Linked DNA regions of Drosophila melanogaster. The protein of the gene in region 1 purifies or fractionates together with the protein of each later gene. This does not show direct contact. Each region holds a gene or a part of one and is shown in the gene's direction. Other genes may lie near its edges.

Region 1 (9,012 bases):
CTTAGCTTCCTAGAATCTATGATTCTAGAATGAAATGAATATAAGAAACAGTCTTCTTTATAAAAACGTTGCTGTGGGCGGAATATTTTATCGGCGTAGATCAGCAGCGCCGTTTGGGTTAATTTTATCATAAGAATGGATTATCATATTGTTTAAGGGAACTATCACTTCGACTACTACTATGGACAACAAATAAACACAACAAGGGTTATAAAATCTATCGCATAAATATATAATTGGCTAGTTGATGGAAGAATGGAATCCGTTTGGTGTTTGCTAGCTGGCCCTACGTTGTACATCCTGCGCTATCTCTACGTGTTTCCGAGGACGCCAAAGCTCCAGCAAGCGCATTAAGAAGTGGGCCACAACGAAGAACACCAGAAACCAGGATCCGTGCTGCCACACCGCAAACACCAGCTCGCTAGTGGTGAAAGAGCGTTCATTTAAAACGCGATCGTACACCTTTACTGTGCGAAGGGCAACATCCTCCCAATTGTAAAGCGTTTCCACCAACTCATTACATCTATATGGACACATTACGGGCTCTGTAGAGCTGTTCTGATCCGCAGGAGGAGCAGAGACTGCTGGCAGTTGTGTAGGAGAGATAGGAGTATCGACTTTCCTGCGACGTCGCCGCTTAACCTTTCCATTAGCGTCCGAGGCCAAATGCCCATTGCCAACTGATGGACTAACCTTAAAGGAACTCTTTCGATGACGGTCGATGGCAATTAGAATCGCTGCGTAAATGGCATCAATTTCGGGCTCTGCCAGCAGTATAAGACTCTTGGGTAGCACTTCGGGAATTCCGCCCACACTGGTGGACACCACCTGCAGTCCACAGGAAGCCGCCTCAACGATGGCCATGCAGTAGGCCTCAGTCAGTGAGGTATTCAAAAAGATGTGGCCACGCACCAGGAAATCGCGAACCCTGTTATGCTCCACGGCGCCCACCATTTGAACCCTTTCCTGCATATTGGTCTTTTCGCGAATCTCCTCCAGCAGATCACGCTTAGGTCCATCGCCCACAATGATAAAGTTTATGTTGGGAGTGTTTTTGAACCGTGGAATGATGCCAGCTAGCAAATCAATGCCTTTGCGGTAGACAAGACGGGAGGCCACTACAATGTTGACTGAAAAGTAGGGATAAGTTAATTAAAAATACTACAAAACGACGAAGTCCCCATACTTATATCATTGCTCGGACGCTGTTGAGGATCGGGAGTAAACAGGGCAGTGTCGACTGCATTGGGAATGACGGAAACTCGATGTTTAGCTACTCGAGCGCGTAGAACAGTGTTCTCCTTCCCTATGTGAGATACACAGATGGCGTGATTGACCATGCCCAAGTTGACCTCCAGCAGATTGTTGGTTAGAGCGGCTGACAAGTCCGCAAAGCCAAAGAGGCTGTGATCGGTAAAGACAGTCTGCCAAACAAAAAGATGATTCATTAGCGATTTAAACTATACGTTTCGTATTGAAGATTATGCCTACCTTTAGCCCCAGGAGGGAGCCCACCATCAGTGCCTCGTGCGCCAGAGCACTGAAGGCAGAGTGGCCATGGACCACTTCCACCCGCTCACGAAGTAGCACCGCTCGCAACATCGGCACATTGCAAACAGCGGTGGGCAGTATGCACTGGTTGTAGCACACCTTAATGGGCAGATAGTAGACCTTCAGGTAGCCAGTCACATAGCGAATGCCACTGCAGTCTCCGTAGGCGTGGGTCAGCACGACGATCTAATGGGCAAAGATAGTCAGTTCAAATAATCGTTATCATTCGTGGTCCGCCCAATTGACAATAGTCACCTTGTGACCCAAGCTGAGCAACATTTGCGAAAGGTTGTAGACGTGCTCCTCGACCCCTCCGATGCTCGGATAGAAGAAGTCCGACACCATGCAGATGCGCATTTTTCACTCTTTGGGTTCTGCGGCTTCCAGTAATTTGACATACCACATATAAACAAATAAATACAATATGTTAAACAAAAATCGGCAAGCAAAAAACAACAGTGTGCACAATGGCCAAAGAGTGGTCGATGTAGTAGTGTTGAAAGGTGAAGAAAATGCTAATCGGTACTGGGGCCCAATTTCGATTTGAATATAACATTAAATTAATGTGCCACGAATATGTATAAAAGTGCTTAAAGCTTTTTCTTCTCAACAAGGCAAAAGTTTTTCCTAAAAATAGGTCTGTAGACAATGATGTACCTATTTTCTAGGTACTATAACTTTATATATTTTTTAACACTGCAAGTAGCTTTAGCAATGCTTGCGGATGCTGGTCACACTCGGCTGCAGACGTTTTTGTGTTTTGGCTGGTTTCTTCATGGCTAAATCATGCAGAATTCCAAGGCCAAAATGGACGAATTCAAGAGCAAATTCTTGGACATATTGCACAAACAGGTAGCAGATCATCGAACATTTAAATAATCCCCAAAACTAACCCCGTTGCTATGCATTCCGCCCACCAAACAAAATACTGCTCACGCACACAAAGACGAACCGTCAAATGAAAATTCCTGCCATGGGTTTTTCGGATTATTTCATTCAAACGGTGACCACAGACGCCTCCGCCAGTCAAGAAACTGATGCCACAGACGCGGCAGCCACTTCTTCCAGCGAGTCAAATGCACAAAAGTCGGACCAGGAGATCCTGGAGAGCATCGAACAGTGCTACTACAACCCCGACAGCAATCCACAGCTGTACGAACTCAAGGTAAACCAGGTAGACCAGTAAGCTGTGGCTTTAATTACCCACCACGATCTTCCGTAGAAAGTTCTCAACGATGGCATAGACAACGAGCTCATCGAGGTCACCATTGCACAATTGCGCACTCAGCAGAAGGTTCTTACCAAACAGGTGCTCCAGAACATCCTGGAGCAGCGGAATGCCTGCAGCAGTGAGTTTGCCGCTATCAATGACACGCAGAAGAAGTTGGAGGAATCGCTGTGGACATGCCAAAAGGCGAGATCCTATTTAAACTTTGCTCGCACGAACCTAACAACCACTAGCCTGGAGATCTTGGCCAGCTACCGCAAACGAGAGGTGCTCAAGGAGGTGTTGGACACCCTGGTGGCCATCAAGAGACTGGTCAGAAATGAATTGATGATTCTGTGGGCAATTTGAATAACATACAATATCTTACAGCGCACTACTGACGTGGAGGTACAGAAGCTGCTAGCGGATCACAACTACAGCGCCGCCATAGCTCTGCTCCTGCAGTGCAAGAGCTCCGCCGAGGCCTACATGCAGTTCAACTGTGTACAATCGCTCTCTAAAAAGCTGCAGGAAACCATGCTGCTTATGGAATTTCAGCTGGATACTGTGCTTAATGAAATGGTGCTAGGTTTTGATGGGCGAAAATACGCCAAACTGCAGGAGGCCTACAAATTGGCAAACAAGTCACTGATGGCCATGGACCAGCTGCACATCAACTATATTTCGGCCATTCACTCTTCTGTGAATGCAGTGCTTCGCGGTTACAGCGATCCTGGCCAGGACGATCAGGCCAAGCCGCTCTATGAGCAGCTGTGCGAACAGCTTAGCGTGGATAAGCTGCTGCCCTGTCTGATTAGTTTGTGCAAAACCTTCTGGACCATTCTGGCCTCCTACTATCAGGTTGTTATGTGGCACAATAACTACAAGTTGTATGGACAGGAGGAGGAGGATTCACCAGATATTTACATTCAGCAGAAACTGAAGAAGGGACAGTCACGCGTTTGGAATGACATTCTGACCAAAGTGTGCTTGTTCCTGCAGTCGGCAAAGTTGACGGCTCTTAAATACGATCAGTTCATCCAAGTGCTGTCCGTGGTACAAAGACTTAAGAAGGTGGGTCTGGAGTTCTGCGGCGAGCAGTCGGAGAAGTTGATCGAGACGATGCAGCAGCAGAGCGAGGAGTTCTTCCGGCGTTACCATATCTGCTGCATTGAGGAAATCTGTTTATTCTTGGATAACGAGTCCTGGACGCAAGTCGACTCATTTGCGCATATCCTGCAATTGCCTGTAAGTAATTTTAAATTGGCCATTAAAGCGACTGGTTAAGTTATCTACATGTAATTCTCTGTAGGAATTCCGATCGGTTCGGCACACTCTTCGGCGCCACAAGTCTCCGACAACTGCTTTGCTGGCCTCATCCAACAACTCCCCGATCAGCAATAATAACTGCGATGAGCTGGTTTCCGTGCACTCCCAGGATGGTGGCAGCTCCATTTACGGTTCCTACGGATATTTTCTCAGATTCTCCGAAAAAAGTTCGCCATTTGATGGTGGCTTGGATGCAGCAATGTTGGAGGAGGACATCTTATCCGGCATTGTGGACGAGGCCTCCTGTTATTTCAGCGAGGAGAGCGATGACGAGCAGAAAAGCTTGCAAAGCAAGGAGTTCGATGACGCCAGCAAGTAATATTATCTTGGTTATTATACCGCGAAATCATAATAAATGTAAATTTATTTTAGCCAGCTGCTGGTAAACAACACTGCGCTAAATGTGATGCGCGTCATTGGAAGATATCTGCAGATGTGCAAGTTATTGCACTGCATCTCTCCCAAGATTGTGGCTTGCATCCTGGAGCTCATTGACTTTTATGTCTACGCAGTGCACGAAATCTTCGGAAAAGATGCGGTAAATATTTTTATAACAATCACTTTTGAAGATATATTAATTGTTGATATTTGCAGCCGGTAGCAACGGATAATATGCACTCTCCTAGACTGGAGCAACGTTTACGCTCGGTCGAGGTTAACGTTCTGCCACAAATCAAGCTATGGCCCCTTAATTTCTCCTCTCTGGTAATATTATATGTTATTTTCCTAGAGCTTTAATTAATTAAATCATCCTTTTGCAGGCAAATAATGAGCTAGCTAATCCGGATACCTTATACGGACTGTCACAACGCATCGTGGCCGTGGAAGCGGGTCGCAGCATGCTTCAGCAGTTCAACGTCCTTCAGCACTATCTGAACCACTTGCTGCCCCTTGCAGAGCGTCCAATCCTGGCCAGTTACCTGGACTATAGCGATTATATTGCGGACTTGGCTAAACTCGTTTACACATGCGTCACGTCGCGCGTCATCGATTTGTCATCCATTCTGGCTCAGATGGCCAAGGTCAAATGGGATGTTAATCATGTGATACACCAGCACAGCAACTACAGTGATGTTCTAAATAGGGTGGGAAATGCTAAATAATGCTTAATACACTACACAAACTAACCACATTTATATGCAGAACATACAAAGCTTCGCCATGTGTCTGGAGGAAATTGCCAAGGAGGTTCCAGTGCCCAGCAAGCAAGTGTGGAATTCAATGGCCCATGTGGCCACGCATCTGCTGGTGGAGGGGTACGTTCTTATTTTCTATTTCTCAGAAGGATCTGATTTTACATAGTTATTGTTTATTATGTTATAGGTTCTCCAATGTGAAGAAATGCTCTGCCGGAGGACGAGCGCTTATGCAACTGGATTTTGCGAACTTTATGTCGTTCCTAGAGCTCATATCGAACCAAAAGTACCCACAGCATCGCTCCTATGTGGATGTGTTCATCAAGACCTACTATTTTGCGCCCGAACAGTTCGAGCAATGGATTGAACAGCAGCGTACGGGCGATGAATACTCTCTCAAGCAATTGAACAACCTTATTCATTGTATTTGTGTCAGCGATAAACGCACGCGACAAAGGTTGCTACAGTTGCTTGACGCTGGAATACAAAATGGAATAGCAATGTCAACGACGCCGACAACAACACCGCAGAAGAACAACCACGGATCCGTAGCCGGCTCAAATTTAAGCAGCGTTATCTGAGCTCCCCCGAACGATTATTTAATTGTATTTATTTTGTTATAACCCCAAACTAACTTTGTTAGTAGATCAATCTCATGACATTCTTTACGTGTAATTAACATTCCGTTTAGTTCAAATTAACATTGTGTTTAAGGCTAATGATTCTACCTTAGTTATACAGGCGATCTCCATGAAGTACTTCGTTTCAAATTTAGAATCTCCCAAACCCTCCTTAAGTGCAATCTATCCTATAATCTTTCTAATTGATAATTGGCAATTGGTTTACCATTCACCATGACTTAAGTACCTAGAGAAAACAGACATATATATATATATATGTACACACAAAACACGTATAATTAAGATACCTATTTATTTGTAATATTTATTTGCAGCAGGAAACAGACAAATAATTGTAAAACAACTTAAATGTAAGGGGCAGCGTATCGATTTGATTTGCGCGCCTCCCACGATCACACACCATTAACTATTTAGCAACTGTAACAAAATAACAAAGAATACATATTTTGAGATATGCATATTACAAACAATGCGAATTGTGTCTTATCATCGAGGGCGTGAAAAGCTTGACAAGGCATTTCCCTTCAACTTGGAGCAGTTCCCGCACAATATAAATAAAGCAGCTAAGTCTGATGGGCAACATAATTGAAAGGACATGTGGACAGTGATAACAGGAATAGTTTTATGGGCACCCGTCCTGGTTGCGGGATCCGCTGTGGACTTCATCTTTAGAGCAGCAGCGGAGCACTCGCTCTCAGTAATAATGATTCGTATTGATTATTGTCCGTACAACTGGGCAAAGGATATCTTTGAGAATCAAACCATTCCAGTGGTTGTCCTTTCAGATAGCGAGACTTTTATAAACATTCGGATGTTTTCTCGGCCGCTACACGTAGCTTGCCTGCCTGGACATGAGCTGCAAAAGGACCTGGCGTTACTCGAAAACTTTACGAGTTCGCTAATGGATTTTCCGAGTCAGAAGAAGATTGTCTATATATCAAACAATTTCTCTGATCCAACTAGAATGGACTATATTTTCGAAACGTGCTATCATCGCCGAATTTGGAACATTGTTGGACTTTTAGCTTCAGATGAACATCGTTACTTTTATAGATATCACCTATATCCTAGCTTCCGAACGGAGTATCGCTCTCTTGAATCTTCAACCATATTCGACAAGGATTTTCCCAACATGCACGGTCACCCTCTTACTGTTATGCCCGACCAATGGCTTCCGCGTTCCGTTCTCTACGTGGACAGACGAACGGGTAAGCAAATCCTAGCCGGATCTGTGGGACGCTTCTTTCACGTGCTGTCGTGGAAGCTGAACGCCACGCTGCAGCTGTCCAAGAAGGTGACCACCGGGCGCTTTCTAAATGCCACTGCCCTCAAGGAGCTGAGCGAGAGCTTTTCAGTTGATGTTCCTGCCAGTCTGACGATAATGGAGCGAGTCGAGCAGTTGGCCAGCACAAGCTATCCGATGGAGGTGACCCACGTCTGCCTTATGGTACCGGTGGCCAGAAGAATTCCAATTAAGGATATTTACTTTATCCTGAGCAGTGCTTCCAATATGTTCCTGGCTATTGTTATTGTTTCCAGTTATGGATTGGCTTTGAATCTCCTTCGAAACATGACCCATCGCGATGTGCGTCTGGTGGACTTTGTGCTAAATGATAAAGCTTTACGCGGAATCTTGGGCCAATCCTTCAATTTGCCCTTGTCGAGAAGCTTCTCCACCAGGTTGATATTTCTGATGCTTGGAATAGTGGGTCTTAATGTGAGCAGCATTTTTGGAGCGGGACTGGACACATTAATGGCTCATCCACCACGGCAATTTCAAGCACGAAGTTTCGCTGGTCTGCGTCGCACGAAAATACCATTGGTTACGACCGAGGAAGACTTTCCCACATGGATGAAACTGCGTGTGCCCATGCTGGTGGTCAATGTGAGTGAGTACAATCACTTGAGGAATGGAAGGAACACAAGCAATGCCTACTTCGCCTCCCGACTGTATTGGAATTTGTTCAGTGAGCAGCAGAAGCGCTTCACCCGAGAGCTGTTTATCTACTCCACGGATGACTGCCTGTGGTCCCTGGCGCTGCTCTCTTTCCAATGGCCGCAGAATTCCTTGTTCACAGAGCCCGTCAGCCAACTTATTTTGGAGGTAAATGCCAATGGACTCTATGACTTCTGGGTGGGAATGCACTACTACGACATGACAGCAGCTGGATTGTCCGGTCTGGAGGATCCCAGCCTGCAGTTGAAGGAAAGAGAGCACCCTACCTCGCTAAGGATTGTGGATTTTCAGTGGATGTGGCAGGCGTACGGAACATTTATGGTAATTGCGATTCTGGTATTCTTGCTCGAAGTTTCTTGGCACAGAATCACATCATTATTTGTGTCACTAGTTTATTGATCATTCACATGTTTATTGGAAAACGTGGCCAACTCTGCAACATATCAAGTTTCAAATTTAAATTTTAAAATCACTAACACTTAACAAATTAAAAATTGTGAATTAAAGAAACTAATCATCATCGAGGATTTCGATGGGAGACTTAGATTCGTTTGGATCATCAGAAATGTCCGTGTCGCTTGCAGGATTCTTAAGTTCCTCTATCTCATCTTTGAGGTCTTCTATTTGTTCTTCATACCTTCGGCGTTGAGAGGAAAGCTGTTAAATATATAGTTTATATTATATACTATTATATTATATTGTTATATTTACTAACCATAAATTCTGATTCTCTTTGCGCAATTAGTAATTTTTTCTCGCATTCGTCTTCATATTGCTTCTTGTTGTTTTGGATAATCTCCTGGTAGGTGGCAGTCAGTTCCCTTCGCAGTTTCTCCTCAAGCAGCTGCATTTGCAGCACATGATCGTACTTCAGTTGCTCAATCTCTAACTGCAGGCGCACGTTTTCGTCCTCAAGTTCCTTGGTGTAGTCGCCGCCCTCGCACGTCGACATCTTTGAGAATTCCATGAAACCACAGTAGCTGACGCGATGCTGTTTAATTACGGGCTCCTTGAAGATGATGTTCTTGGCGATGGAAGCAAAGTTCAAGACGTTCAGGTTCTCCTCGTAGTATTTATCCAGAGGGGTAACTGTCACGATCATGGCCAATTTCTCCTTGCCCAGCAAAGCAGCCTGCAACAGCATTGTTAGCTTGGAGTCGCGATATGGAATGATGTCGGCGTTTTTCTTTT
Region 2 (6,054 bases), on another chromosome or scaffold:
CACTGTACTCCTTGAAGGCTGGGTGCGTTTCACGCTCCGAACCGGCAAACGACTCCAGTTCGATGGCATAGTCCACCAGTTGGCGGATCTTGGGCACTAGGCTGGCATCGTACTTGGCAATCAGGTGCATGGGCATCGTGATCAGGCACACGGAGTTGCAGTTCCGCACACTGGCCATCAGCAGTGTGAGAAACTTGATCAGATCCTCGCCGAAGTGTTCGTCGTACCACAGCGGCGATCCCAACGAGGTCAGGCAGACGCGGCACAGGTTATTCTTGGTCCCAGCGACGAAGCTCTCGTTACGCAGCAGCTGTTGAATATCGTTGAGCAGTCCTTTGTACCGAGGGTTGTGGAACACCTGCAACGGCGAATCCTGGCTGCCTGTTTTTGTGCTACTGGTCACGCTGCTGCTATTGTTATTGTTGTTATTATTGTTGTTGGCAGAGTTCTCCTCCTCCTGGGCTGGCATCTTCTCCTGCGGAGCGGTCTCCGTGCCCGGAATCGGTGGGGCATCCTCCACGGGCTGCTGCTCCAGCGACGGAGTGGTTGGGGAGCTGCTCTTGGAGAACTCCTCGTCAATGACGATGTCCAGATGCTTGGGGCTATCGTCCCACAAGGTAGTCTTGACATTGTAGAGCATCATGGAGTCCATCTGTTCCATCAGATTGAAATGGTGTCCGATTTTTGCTGTGGCATGTTCCGAATTCACCAGCGGCAGATCATTGTATCGCCAGGCGATCCTTAGGCCATTTTCGGCGCCAGCATCTCCCAGCGCTTGCACCTCGCTTTGCTCCATCGATTCCTGGTCGGTCAGCGGTCTGGGCAGACGGCGCAGCATCTCGGCTGGAATGTCGTCCAGGCTGCCCAGAAATATCTCCTGCTTGGAAATCACACCCTCGGCCAGAAAGTACTTGGCCAGCACCTTGGCGTGCGTCATGAAGCGATCCTCCTCGATCAGGCAGATCGAACCCATGGGCAGACCGCCGCCAATGACCACGTCCAAGTACGGATTTCCGCTGGAGGTGATCACCTGCGCCGTGTGCGGTGAGGTGCGGGTGCCGCGGATTGGCTTCTGCACGGTGCGCTTGCGGAAACTGGTCATCTTCGTCGCACAGATTTCGCTAACCTTTATTTTTTGCGTTCTTTTTTGCTATGTGTTTCCTTCTCTTCGCGTAAACTTCTATTTCGATACTTTCGATATTATCTATTCTCGATGGCTGCCAATGGGGGCACACTCTCCAATTGTGTATCGATAGTCAAAACAGCTGTTAATTCGCAAGTTCTGGGTAGGGCGATAGTTTAGCTTTTATTGCTTAAAAATAAATTTGTGTTCATGTTGTATAATTGGTAGAATATAAGAGGCACAAGTCAAGTGTTGTACTAGAAAAGAAACTCATTGATTGCTTGTGTACAAATAAATGAATAATTGAAAAAAATTGGTCTTAAATTCAATTTCAATTTTCACCCAAAAATTAATTTTAATTAAAATTGTATTAGTTAAGTAATTTTTTATATGAACCAAGAAATCTTTTTTTTTTTTGAAAACATAGTTTAGTTCTCATCACCAATATTAGGGTCTTTCCAAAAGCACATCTTACTCCGATAACAAAAACAGCTGTTTTGATGACATACTTTATTTTTGTTGGTAGTTGAGAAAAACAATTGGGAAAAATACCTTTAAATTGGAAAACAAAAATGGCCGAGGTGCCGTCCCCGCAAATGACGGAACAACTGGACAACGAGGAGGTGCGGGAGATCCTAAAGAACACCACGGATCTGCGGCAATATTCACGACAGATTGAAAAGGAGTTTAAGGAGGTGGAGAATAAGTCCATAGAGGGTAAGCACCATGTTCCATATGCAAACTTAGCTCTAATGATATCCCTTTGAATACCAGACTATATAGCGGAGTCGCAGAATATAGCCAACCTGCACAATCAGATAAACGATTGCGACGATGTCCTGGAGCGCATGGAAAATATGCTGATGAGCTTCCAGAGCGTTTTGAACAACATAAGCACTGAGATCACGCAGCTGCAAAGAAAATCCGTATCCATGTCCCTCCAACTGACCAATCGTCAGTCGGTCAAGGCTCAATTGTCCCAGTTTATCGAGGACATGGCCGTGTCCGAGGAGATGATCAACATAATAATGGAAACCCCGGTTACGGAGCGGGATTTCAGCACCCAGTTGAATGTACTGAATCACAAACTTTCGCTGGTCAAGGAGCTCAGCTTCAAAGAGTCAAAGTCCACCAGCGATGTGAGCGATGTGCTGCAGAAGCTTCGACTGAAAGCCATGGCCAAGATTCGCTCCTATCTGCTGGAGCAGATTTACAAGTTCCGGAAGCCCATGACAAACTACCAGATTCCACAGAACGCCATGCTGAAGCACAAATTCTTCTTCGAGTTCATCCTGTCCAACGAGCGGCATGTGGCGCAGGAAATATGCAGTGAATACATCGATACGATGGGCAAAATTTACTATAGCTATTTTAAGGTTGGTTTTTTTTTCAAAGTTGTGGAAGCATGAATTTTCTTAAATTCATAACTTTCTTGCAGAGTTATTCCACACGCTTGACGAGCCTCAAATTCGAGGAGTCCTGCACAAAGGACGATCTGATGGGCATCGAAGATAATGCATCCAAAGGTTTATTCTCCAAGACGACGAGTCTAAAGCACAAGAGCACCATTTTCACAATAGGAAAGCGAGGCGATATACTTAACCAGCAGCTGGAGGCACCAATTATAGTGCCACATGCGCAGCTAAAGAATCGAGTAAGAGATGTGATACATACACTTGCAAAGGAGATACATCTCAAATTTTAAACAGTACACAGCGGAAGCTCTCTTTCGGTCGGAGCAATACGCCCTAGTGGACAATGCCTGTCGGGAATACCTATTTGTCACGGAGTTCTTTATGGTTCGCGGCACTCAAGCGCAAGATTTGTTCAACCAAATCATGGGCAAAACCCTAACTCTAATGATTGTAAGTCAATGGTTTTTACTTGCGAAATATTAATCATATCTGTTTTTTGAACCTAGAAAAATCTGGAGACCTCCATACACGACTGTTTTGATACCATTGCCATGTTCCTGTGCATCCATCTCATTTTCCGCTATCAGCTAATGTGCCACAAGCGCTGTGTTCCCGCATTGGATAAGTGAGTCTATTCATGGGCGTTGATGATTTTGGTTCACAATTGGATATTTATATGTTTTGATTTCAGATACTGGGACTCCCTGCAGGCGGTAATATGGCCACGTTTCGAACTAGTATTCCGCTTGAATATCCAGAGCATACATGACTGTGATCCAACCAAGTTCAACAAGGAATTGGGACCGCACTACGTAAGTATACGATTTAAAGTTAGTACGGGTTACAAATTATCTTAAATCGATGTTGATAGCATTCTAAAAGTCAAGAGAGGGCCAATAGAGATAACTTTTAACCATTTCTTTTGAACAAAACGCCTTGTCATAATATAATACGTATACTTTACAGATAACACGACGCTACGCAGAGTTCAGTGCGGCCATTGTGGGAATCTCGGAGCATTTTCCTAATGAATTGGTTAGCCGACTGCTTCTGGAACTGCAAAATGAAGTGGAGTGCTTTATCCTTCGCATGGCCGCAATATTTCCAACGCGAAAGGATCAGCTAATCTACCTGATAAACAACTACGATTTGGTTTTGGGCGTGTTGATGGAGCACACGCGAGATAACTCCAAAGAAGCGGAGGCATTCAGAGAGCAGCTCAACTCCCGCAGTGCGGAATATGTCGAGGAGATCCTGGCCCCTCATTTCGGAGGCATTATTCAGTTCGTCAAGGAGTGCGAGCACTTCTTCGAGAAGGAACAAATGGATGAGCTGCGCAAACAGGAGCGAAGAAGTCTGGCCTTGGTCGCCAGCTTCTCGGCCAATTGGAAGAAATCTCTGGAGGAGCTAAACAGGGAGGTGCTTCTCTCATTTCCCTCATTGCTGACGGGCTCACAGCTTCTGCAGCTTGCGTTGGCCAGTTTGGTGCAATACTATCACCGATTCCACAAGCTCCTCACGCCCAATGCCCGCGCCCAGCTGACCAATATCCACGTCGTGATGGTGGAGATCAAGAAGTACAAGAGCAATTACTGAGGGACGCTTTAATTGAATCTGTGTGTGTGTCTTCTGTGTATTCCAAATTGAGTAAAGTTCCAAAATAAATGTATGTAAGGTATACGACTTAATCCTCATCCTCGAACATCATCTCGACGAGATCCTGATTGGAGCAGCGCTCGCCATCCAGACGCTGTGGCCGCTTCCAGCGCAACAGAGTGGGCAAGAAGATCAGATGCGTGTTGGGATCCTTGCGGAAGGGGCAGTTCAAATCCTTCCAGCTGCAGTGAAAAACAAGTGTTAATTTATTGCTTACCACGGTTCAGTGATAACAGGCGGCATGAATACAACTCAAGAGCATTGTAAAGCTATCGTTGTTTAATGGTTTTTTTTATCATGAATGTTCTCGGCGTGTGAAAAAGTACTCGAGTGCTTATTTCATCATCGTACAGTTGGGGTTGAGTGACTAGTTTCACATTGCCAAAATGTTTTGAACTTGATAATCGAATGACAAAGGGTTTTGGCAACTGAATGACGTGGGATATATGCATATATGTACGTCATTCTAAATGACTAAGCCTGTGTTTTGAAACTATTTGGCTATTTCGAACCAAAGAAACCAGCAGATGTTCGCAGTCTCGCAGTGCATGAAATATTAATTCCTGCTTATCTAACTAATCGCAGCTGTTTTCTTCAGTTTGGCGGTATTAACTTACTATGCCCGCTCGCCCACATCCACATGCACGAAGTGCGAGTTGCCCGGGGCCTTCTTCAGCGCATCGTGTATCACCGGCTCCGCTGCAAACGTGAGAAATGAGTTTGGGAATCGGATAGGTTGCGGTTAGCCGCATTGGGATCACGGCATGCTCACCCTTGACGCAGTAGGGGCACCAGCTCTCTCCTTTCTCGTCCTTGCCGCCACTGAAGAGGACGTGGACCGGCTCGTCGCCGTTCTCCAGTTCCTCCATCTTTTTGGTGAACTCATCGTATCCCTTGACGTTGTGTGTGACCACCATGATCTTGCTGGGATTAGTATTCACCGCGCAGTAGCGTCTGAGTATGCGACCGAAAAGCGTTGGAAGCGACGTGATGGCGAACTTTGGAGTAACTGGCTTCTGGAGGGGAATGGACTTCTCCTAATTTATCAGGTTTTCTGACTTTTTGACGTAAAAAAAGCTTACTATCACAGATGGCAGGGTTACCAGCTTTCGAGCGCACTGATACATGGCCATTTTCAAGCCAATGAAAATAATAGATTTTTAGCTACGAGCTTAGATTTTGAAACGTATGAAAGGGAAATAAATAAGAACAGATACGTTGACTTCGAAATTTATTTGTAATATATATGATTTATTTGTAATATTATCTGTGTACCCTAAACATATAAAATTTACTTTCAACAATTTCTTGTTTTTAGTAAATATCGAAATAATAAAAACGCCATTCTAGCTGGCTATAGCCATTTTAGCGGGAATAGCCCGATAACCCGCTAATTGGTGAAAATGTGCAACACTATTTGTATCGAAAAACTAAACAGCTGATTAGAATTCTTTTTTTCGTAAAGTACGTTTATTTGTTTTTTACCATTGATTTCGTCGTGAACGATGTCACGGCTAGCTTTATTGCGCAATTTGGTCACTCAGCGGCAAAATTTGTTGCCCACCAACTTTGCCAGGTTAAAATGTGCGGCGGCGATGCACTGGAGTCCACATTTGCGACAGGAAGCGTCGCGCGGTTTGTGCCTCAAACTTCTCATCAGGTTACATCTGAAATATTTACTATATTATTCATGCAGATGGTGGCGGATCCCTTCAACGATCGCAGGATAACACCCAGGTGTCGACGGATGTGCGCCCCATTGGCGAGAAGATCAAGGAGAACACTAAGACGGCCAGTTATACGGCGATTATAATCGCCGGATTAGGGGTGACCTGCGTGATGTTCTTTGCCATATTCCGA

Evidence for each region. The genes of interacting proteins can lie anywhere in the genome.
Region 2: the proteins of Vps50 (region 1) and Vps52 purify together in Drosophila melanogaster (affinity purification with western blotting, with the first as the bait; one study listed by BioGRID). This does not show direct contact.

What each region holds. Positions count from the first base shown.
Region 1 is NT_033778.4:17,737,642-17,746,653, forward strand, and holds Vps50 (vacuolar protein sorting 50), read left to right. Parts: upstream 1-2,259; 5' UTR 2,260-2,337; coding exon 2,338-2,403; intron 2,404-2,497; coding exon 2,498-2,716; intron 2,717-2,773; coding exon 2,774-3,091; intron 3,092-3,148; coding exon 3,149-4,006; intron 4,007-4,070; coding exon 4,071-4,402; intron 4,403-4,459; coding exon 4,460-4,625; intron 4,626-4,681; coding exon 4,682-4,792; intron 4,793-4,848; coding exon 4,849-5,172; intron 5,173-5,230; coding exon 5,231-5,343; intron 5,344-5,410; coding exon 5,411-5,804; 3' UTR 5,805-6,328; downstream 6,329-9,012. Other genes in the region: PIG-A (phosphatidylinositol glycan anchor biosynthesis class A), read right to left, coding at 277-1,130, 1,187-1,424, 1,492-1,737, 1,807-1,908; Ir54a (ionotropic receptor 54a), read left to right, coding at 6,460-8,220; sub (subito), read right to left, coding at 8,332-8,478, 8,537-9,012.
Region 2 is NT_033779.5:5,519,458-5,525,511, reverse strand, and holds Vps52 (vacuolar protein sorting 52), read left to right. Parts: upstream 1-1,613; 5' UTR 1,614-1,695; coding exon 1,696-1,840; intron 1,841-1,897; coding exon 1,898-2,499; intron 2,500-2,561; coding exon 2,562-2,777; intron 2,778-2,832; coding exon 2,833-2,988; intron 2,989-3,044; coding exon 3,045-3,163; intron 3,164-3,229; coding exon 3,230-3,350; intron 3,351-3,504; coding exon 3,505-4,134; 3' UTR 4,135-4,222; downstream 4,223-6,054. Other genes in the region: Elp4 (elongator complex protein 4), read right to left, coding at 1-1,102; cl (clot), read right to left, coding at 4,223-4,376, 4,812-4,893, 4,967-5,111; CG7382 (uncharacterized protein), read left to right, coding at 5,700-5,829, 5,891-6,054.